Linked DNA regions of Caenorhabditis elegans. The protein of the gene in region 2 interacts with the protein of the main gene of each other region in a pairwise test. Each region holds a gene or a part of one and is shown on either strand. Other genes may lie near its edges.

Region 1 (3,295 bases), on a different chromosome or scaffold from region 2:
CTCCAATGACACGTGTTTTCTAGCTTCTTCCGCGCCAAGTTTGCGCTCTGATCGCGTTCTATCCGCGCGCACAGAATTTTTTAAAGACATTTTACAAATTTGGAATGCGCGCGGAGCAGACGCGATCAGTCTATGGGTAATCAAGTACTCTAGTCCCTAGTTGAAAAATTTAGCTATGGTTTAACAAGGGTAATCGTTCAACACAAAACAAACAATCAACAAAAAACTTCGTTGCATTTTCAATGTTCTCAGCCTGAAAGTTTTTTCTTCAAAGCACCAGAATTTAGAAAAGTCTTGTCTACATATATTTGTTCTTTGGCTTAACGTATTGGGTGGTATGACCTGATTATTATGAAAATGTTATGCATGACCTCTTTTTCAAAGGAAAATGATCTCCTTCAAATACCACATCCTAGTTTTCTCTTTAGTTTAGTTCCTCCAATTAGTGTTTTTACCAACTTTAAAAGTGACTTGGACCAGATCACGTTTCTCGACATTTTTAATGACCTTCTGAATTATTCTATTCGAATAAAGAGCCACCGTTGCAGACCAGCGAGTTCGGAAGTTGCAGTGTGCAAAAATGTAATTTCCTTTTCAACTATATATAAATTAATTCAATATGTTCAGTCTTGTTTAAAAAAACAAAAAACACATAACAACTTTTTATTTTCACTGACAAACGAACGGGAAAACGTAAGATCTTGAGAAACGAATGAATAAAATTTATTCCTCATCGAAGCGTTTGCGCCATGAACCGAAAAAAAGTGGTCGAGAGGAGCCGCTTTCAGCAAACGCCGACACTGGACCGTAGCCTTGAATCTGAAAATTGTGACTCTGTAAAAACTGCAGCTGAAAACTAACAGTAAATCATCTACCAACCTGTCTGGAGCGTTGGGAAGTTCTCCAGGATGGTTGATTGAAGGAAACTGAGTGAAACTGAAAATTGTGAATTTAGCTTTCATTTCAACACTAATTATGTTTTACCTTGACCACCTTTGTGGTAGTTTCAACTACCAAAACACACAAGAAAAAAGCGAGAAGAAGTTTGACGTTGAACATGACGGCGATGCGGCTCTACAAATGGGGTTTGATGTTTTTAACCTTATACAACTCGGCAAGAAAGTAGTGAGCCGGAAAATAAAATGACCAATAGAACAAGTATTTCTCGGGAAATAGAATGGGTTCTCCAGTTTTCAAGTAGGTGTGCAAAGTGGCACATAGGGTGGAAATAAGAAGGAAAATGATATCATGTGGGTGGATGGTGCATCGAATAATATCCATTGTTCTGTTTTTTACGCACAAAATACATATTATCTGATTAGAATACCATAAATAAAAAATCATGTCCCACAAGCTATTCATATGTTTTAAAAAATTATTTTAAGTTTTTAAAGCATTTTTACCGAAAAAAACATATCAACTTGCTCAATATTCGCAAAATTAAGCGACCAGGTAAGGAATAGAAAGTGGATGAGTAGAAAATGGCTGACATCTTCTTCTACTTCTATTGGCACCACGACTTCCAAAAAACTCTGGAAAAGCCATTAGTGCGATTGAGCAACCAAAAAAAAACTTGACGTGTCCACGTGCATGCCTATGCACACATAGTGAGATATGCTAGTTGAATTGGTCAACTAAAATTAAGAATTTTAAAGCAGGCAAGCACTTTGGTGGACTTTGTCAAGTGACGTTTGGGGTTGGACAACGGAAATTCATGGATATTTCAATACGTGTCATTTATTTTCAATGGCCCAGCGATTTTCGATATTTCAAAAGTTCACCTACGTATAAAAACAACCATTGAAGATTTATGAACTGCAATTTCTTAAATGAGAAGTTCGGGGAAATATTTTGAACGATGTCTACAGGAAAACAAAATTCAAGTGTGCATGAAATTGGGAAAAACGAGAATTTATAGTTTTGGAGAAATTTGGCTCCGAGTCAGTAACATGAGAGCGCCCACAAGGTAATTTGCATTAAAATGTGTTTGGATGAGTATTCAGATAATTTTTGTTGTTTTTCTAGTCACAACGCCCACTTTTGTTGGCTTACATGATGCTTAGATATACCAAAATTTTTGCATTCAACGTTTTATACCTATTTTTTTGAAAGCTTGATTGTTTTAAATATCACTGAAATAATCCGAAGAAAAACAAGAATTATCATCACTGAGTTTTTACATATGTTATATAGACTTTAAATGCGCCGAAATAAACAAATTGTTGTAATGAAACCTCCCAGCCATATTCAGAAATTTTTATGGCGGCTCAAAATAAACAGAGAAAAAGTATAATTTTAACTAAAAACTTGACGTTTGCCAACTTTGCATCGTTTTTTTTTTGAGACGCAGCAATGTTGTAGGATCAGATTTTCGTCAGAATTGGGTTATTTTTTTTAACAAAAAAAGAAGTTTAAAAAGGTTTTTTAAAAGTTCAAATATAATTTTCATTGGCTAAATTTCAAATTTTGATTATTTGAACTCACAATAATTTTTCAACTGTCTCATAAAATTGTAAAAGCGGTCTACATATATAGTGGACATTGTTTTTCTCAGTTACCACAAAACCACTAAAATGGTTTGCCCTCATCTTCTTTAAAATTCTAATTTTGTAGAACACTTGTCAATTAATTCTTAGAACCGGGTAGAGTTTGCTTCTTTGGTCTCACCGCTGTTATAAAGTGGGAATTTCGGTGAAACTGCACACTTCCCTGAACATCTTATAAGGAAATTGTGTGGTTTTCGATTTTTTATAAGGAATGAAAAAAAAACGAACAACATTTTGTTTCTGGAAAGCAATAGAATTCTCAAGTTTTCAATCGAGATTGAAGATCATTGAAGTCGGCCAGCAAATATACCCAATCTAATTGTTTTTTCTTGAAGAGCACTTCTTCCAAATGGAAATGGCAAAAATGAATTTGCGGCTTTACGATTTCGAATACTAAATACGAACAATTTTGAGAATGAGGAAATTGAGCACTCAGTTCGGAATTAAAAGTTTTCGTGAAAACATATCCGTTCATTTACCATCAATTTAAAAGGGAAAAAATAAAATAAGAATAATATAAATTTTTATTATTTTTATTCCTACATTTCCGGGCTTATTATATATCTGAAAGAACATTTCATGAAAATATTTAAAGTTGTTTTCATGTTATGGTGAACATTCGGTTGGAGTAACTAAATAAGAAGGGTCTGGTTTTGCTGGAATCATGTGTGGATATTCATACGACGCCTTGAAAACCATTTCACTGCTATCCGTTTCAGAAGTGAAGTAGGTGTCCCAGGCGAGAAGAG
Region 2 (4,048 bases):
TTCCAGATATGAATCTCTTTTTGATCTTCGCTGCTTCTACTTTAATTTTCTCTGCTCACTGTCAGTATTCAAGTGGCGGAGGAGGTGGTGGTTACTCAGGTGGTGGAGGTGGTGGAGGAGACGCTGCTCCACCTCCTCCTCCACCTGCCGATGCCGCACCAGCTCCAGCCCCAGCTCCGGAACCAGAAGCCGCCCCTGCAGCACCAGCAGCCGATGCCGGAGGTTATGCCGCTGCTGCATCAGCCGGCGGTGGATCATATCCAGCCAAGAAGAGAAGAGTTGCTCGTGACTATGCTGAAGGAGGAGCTGCTCCAGCTGCTCCAGCAGAACCCGCTTCAGCTCCAGCTCCAGCACCCGAAGCGGCTCCAGCACCAGAACCAACGCCAGCTCCAGCTCCAGAAGCCGCTCCAGCTCCGGCACCAGATGCCGCTCCAACAGCCCCAGCAGCAGGCGCAGGTGGATATTCCGCCGGCGCAGATGCTCCAACTGGTGGTGGATCTTATCCATCCAAGAAGAGAAGAGTTGCTCGTGATTATGCTGAAGAAGGTGCCGCTCCAGCTGCGCCAGCAGAACCCGCCCCAGTTCCTGCACCAGAACCAGCACCAGAAGCCGCTCCAGCACCAGCACCAGAAGCCGCTCCAGTTCCGGCACAAGATGCCGCTCCAGCAGCCCCAGCAGCAGACGCAGGTGGATATTCCGCCGGCGCAGCTGCTCCAGCTGCTGACGGATCTTACCCGACTAAGAAAATGATGAGATTTTCTCGTCTCGTTATTTAACTGACACTTTTTTATATCCCCATGTATCTCTCTCACTGTAACCGGTTCATAATTTTTACGGTTTTTAATAACTTCATTTCATTAATAAATAGATTCATCATGTGAGTTTTACGAGGTATTCGGAGTAAATGAGGTTTGTAAAAAGATCAGGTAGAAAATAGTGATTCAATTCATTGTGTAGACCTTGGGAAGCTTCGGAAGCAAATTTTCTAGATTTGACAATGGTTCAAAAGCTCCATCAACGAACAGCTGAGGGAAGGTTTCACAATCTGATAATGCTTTTGAAATAAATCGAATTTCAGAATCTGTGGAAACATCAAATATAGTGTAATCTATTTGATTATCACTGAGTGATTGTATTGTAGATAGAGTTTGCTCATCCTCAAGATAATTTACAAAAAGAAGAACTGGTTTCCGGAAGATTTTGTAAATTTTAGCTTGACCATTCTCCATTTTTGAATTATCATTTCGAATTTCACTTTCTTCCTGAAAACATAACTTTTAAAATTGTACATGAATTTCAGTTCAGAACAAACCTCCCTTTGAGCTGTTTGTTTTGTCAATTGATCTGGAAAATTTGTGGCTTTTCTGCTAACGGGTAGTTTTTCTGGATTTGCAGTGTCTTCTTCCAAAGTTTCAAAAGTTGGAACATCAAATGGGTTAAGCTTGTTAATTAGTTTCTCAACTTTTTGAATTGAGAAATTGTCTCTCTGGAAATTTAATGATTGAAAATTTTAAGAGAATGTTTTAACTTACCTCTAGTTCATTTATTTCCAAAACGATCAGATTCAAAATATCGTCGAACTTGTCCAATTTTCTTTTTGCTAGCTGTGAATTTTGCAATTCAATGTACTCCGAAGCCACGTTTCTGAGGTCTTCAATCCTATTCTGAACAACTGTTACAATGATCTTCAATGCTTTCAGGTCATTCACAAATTTGTCTTCATTGGAATCCCAAAATTTGAAGACACTTTGAAACTGGAGAAATTGAATTCGCATTTGGATCATTGCATCTCTGAAAAAAATTTAAATTTGTTCAGTGTCTAATTTCATATTTTAATAAAAATTATGGTTTCCGCAAGTTTTCGCAATTCAAAATCGATTAATTATGAATGTGAGCAAATCTTGAATTTCACAAATGTTCCGCGTTTTTCAACGGAAAAATTACGGTTTCAGGCAAAATTTGTATGCTAAAATGAAATATTTTATCGAAAAATACAAAACATAAAATTAGGAGTGGAATTGAAATATTCAACTGAAATTTCGGAATCAAATTTCTTGGTTATAATTTGAAAATTTGGACTTACAATTAATACCTAATTGAATTTTTCTTATTCCACCTCAGAATTTCAGCTAAAAGAGCCTTTTCTAATCTGAAACTTACTGTCTGAACATCTTAAAAAATTTAAATTATTTCGCAACCGTCACTAGTTTTTCATGTTTTAGGGAACGTTTCTCTCACCTCAAAACTGTGAGTTTCACACCTAAATCCTCTTCACCAGCTTCACTTTCCAATTCGGGTTTCAGTTTCTCCGGAGACTTTCCAAAAACTCCGCGCATCATCGTTTCCTAGAAGGACGAAGCAAAAGAAAGAAAAAATTAAAATTGGTTGGCGAAGAATAACTAGTTCGAGAAAAAAGCAAACATATAAATAGTGTAAGAGAACGGAGACGCAGTGTTTCATAGTCAAGGCTTTTTCTCTGTTTCTCTTCGATTTATATGGTGCATCGGTGAGGAACAGGAGGATGGCAGAGAGGCTAGAGATGCCATGTGAGAGGGATACCAGGGTTCTCTGTTCTCAGATATGACCAAAAAGTCAGAAAGAGAATTTTAAGAAAAATGAGATATAAAATTACTGTTTCAATGGCTTTTTAAGCACAGCTCAAAAATGGAGGATTTTTTCAAAAAAAATCTTTCAAACGCCAAAATGTTCCACAAGTTTGTCTACATGATTCCTATTGAGGAAATCTCATATCCAAACTCTGGAAAAAGTTCAAGCAGCTGATATCTCGCGAGTCATTATTTGACAATTATTTTTGAAACTTAAGAATAGTTTTTTTTAAGAGTAGAGTTGCTTTAATAAAGCACAAATAAAAACGTTCTAACTACATTTTTACGTACGTCCTTTCGGAAAATCTTGCAGAATTAACGAAAAACTAAAATCGATGAAATTCGATAGCAAATCATATGAATGAATAGTTTTTAAATATCATTATTTTTGAAAAAATTTATTTTAAATTGATAATAAAAAATAAACAATACATATACATATAGCTTAGAAATTGTGTGATGCTCAATTCATTGTGTAGACCTTGGGAAGCTTCGGAAGAAGATTTTTCAGAATTGGCAATGGCTCAAAAGCTCCATCAACGAACAGCTGAGGGAAGGTTTCACAATCTGATAATGCTTTTGAAATAAATCGAATTTCAGAATCTGTGGAAACATCAAATATAGTGTATTCAATTTGATTATCATTGAGTGATTGTATTGTAGATAAAGTTTGCTCATCCTCAAGATAATTCACGAAAAGAACAACCGATTTTCGGAAGATTTTGTAAATTTTAGCTTGACCACTCATCATTCTACAATTATCCATTCTGATCTCATTTTCTTCCTGTAACATAATTTTGTAGCAAACTGTAAGAGATTTAAACTCACTTCGAGTTGAAAAGTCTCCCTTTGCGTTTTAATTTCTAGTTTTTCAGGAATATTTCCCATTGATGAAACTTGAGTATTCAGTTCTAATACGACGCCTTGAATATTTTCGTAAATTGGCACGTCGAATGGATTGAGATTGTTGATTAGTTTCTCTACCTTCTCGATGAAAAAATTTTGGCCCTGAAATTCTATTCTTAAATTTCTAAAAAAATAAAAAAACATTACTTTTGCTTTGCTTATTTCGAATGCTATTTTATTCAATGTATACTCAAAGCTATCAATAATTGTCTTCAACATCTGGAGGTTCTTGATTTTGAAATATTCTCCAACTATCAGCTTTATATCGTCAATTTGGTTTTGAACGACTATAATTATAACATTGAGTGACTTCTTTTCGTGCTCAATTTTGGCTTTATTCTGATGATAGAAAATACTTTGAAAATGTAGAAACTGAACTCGTAATTGAATCATTGCATCTCTGAAAATGTGCTTTCTGGTGAACGCAATATGTTTCCTATATACCTTAAAACTGTAAGTTTGACACTGAAATCTTCCTCACTTGAATGCCAAGCAGCTTCATTGAATTCTTCTGAAGAGCTTTCAAGATAATTTCC

The links. The genes of interacting proteins can lie anywhere in the genome.
Region 1: the proteins of F47B8.3 (region 2) and nssp-82 interact in a two-hybrid assay, tested with the Caenorhabditis elegans proteins (one large-scale study listed by BioGRID).

Annotation. Positions count from the first base shown.
Region 1 is NC_003284.9:8,065,452-8,068,746, reverse strand, and holds nssp-82 (Neuropeptide-Like Protein), read right to left. Parts: upstream 1,180-3,295; 5' UTR 1,060-1,179; coding exon 985-1,059; intron 937-984; coding exon 880-936; intron 820-879; coding exon 724-819; 3' UTR 650-723; downstream 1-649. Other genes in the region: C18A11.3 (DUF4309 domain-containing protein), read right to left, coding at 3,153-3,295.
Region 2 is NC_003283.11:14,320,538-14,324,585, forward strand, and holds F47B8.3 (Glutaredoxin domain-containing protein), read right to left. Parts: upstream 2,467-4,048; 5' UTR 2,340-2,466; coding exon 2,239-2,339; intron 1,792-2,238; coding exon 1,533-1,791; intron 1,487-1,532; coding exon 1,313-1,486; intron 1,263-1,312; coding exon 942-1,262; 3' UTR 830-941; downstream 1-829. Other genes in the region: F47B8.14 (Skin secretory protein xP2-like), read left to right, coding at 9-776; F47B8.4 (Glutaredoxin domain-containing protein), read right to left, coding at 3,070-3,390, 3,435-3,614, 3,660-3,912, 3,957-4,048.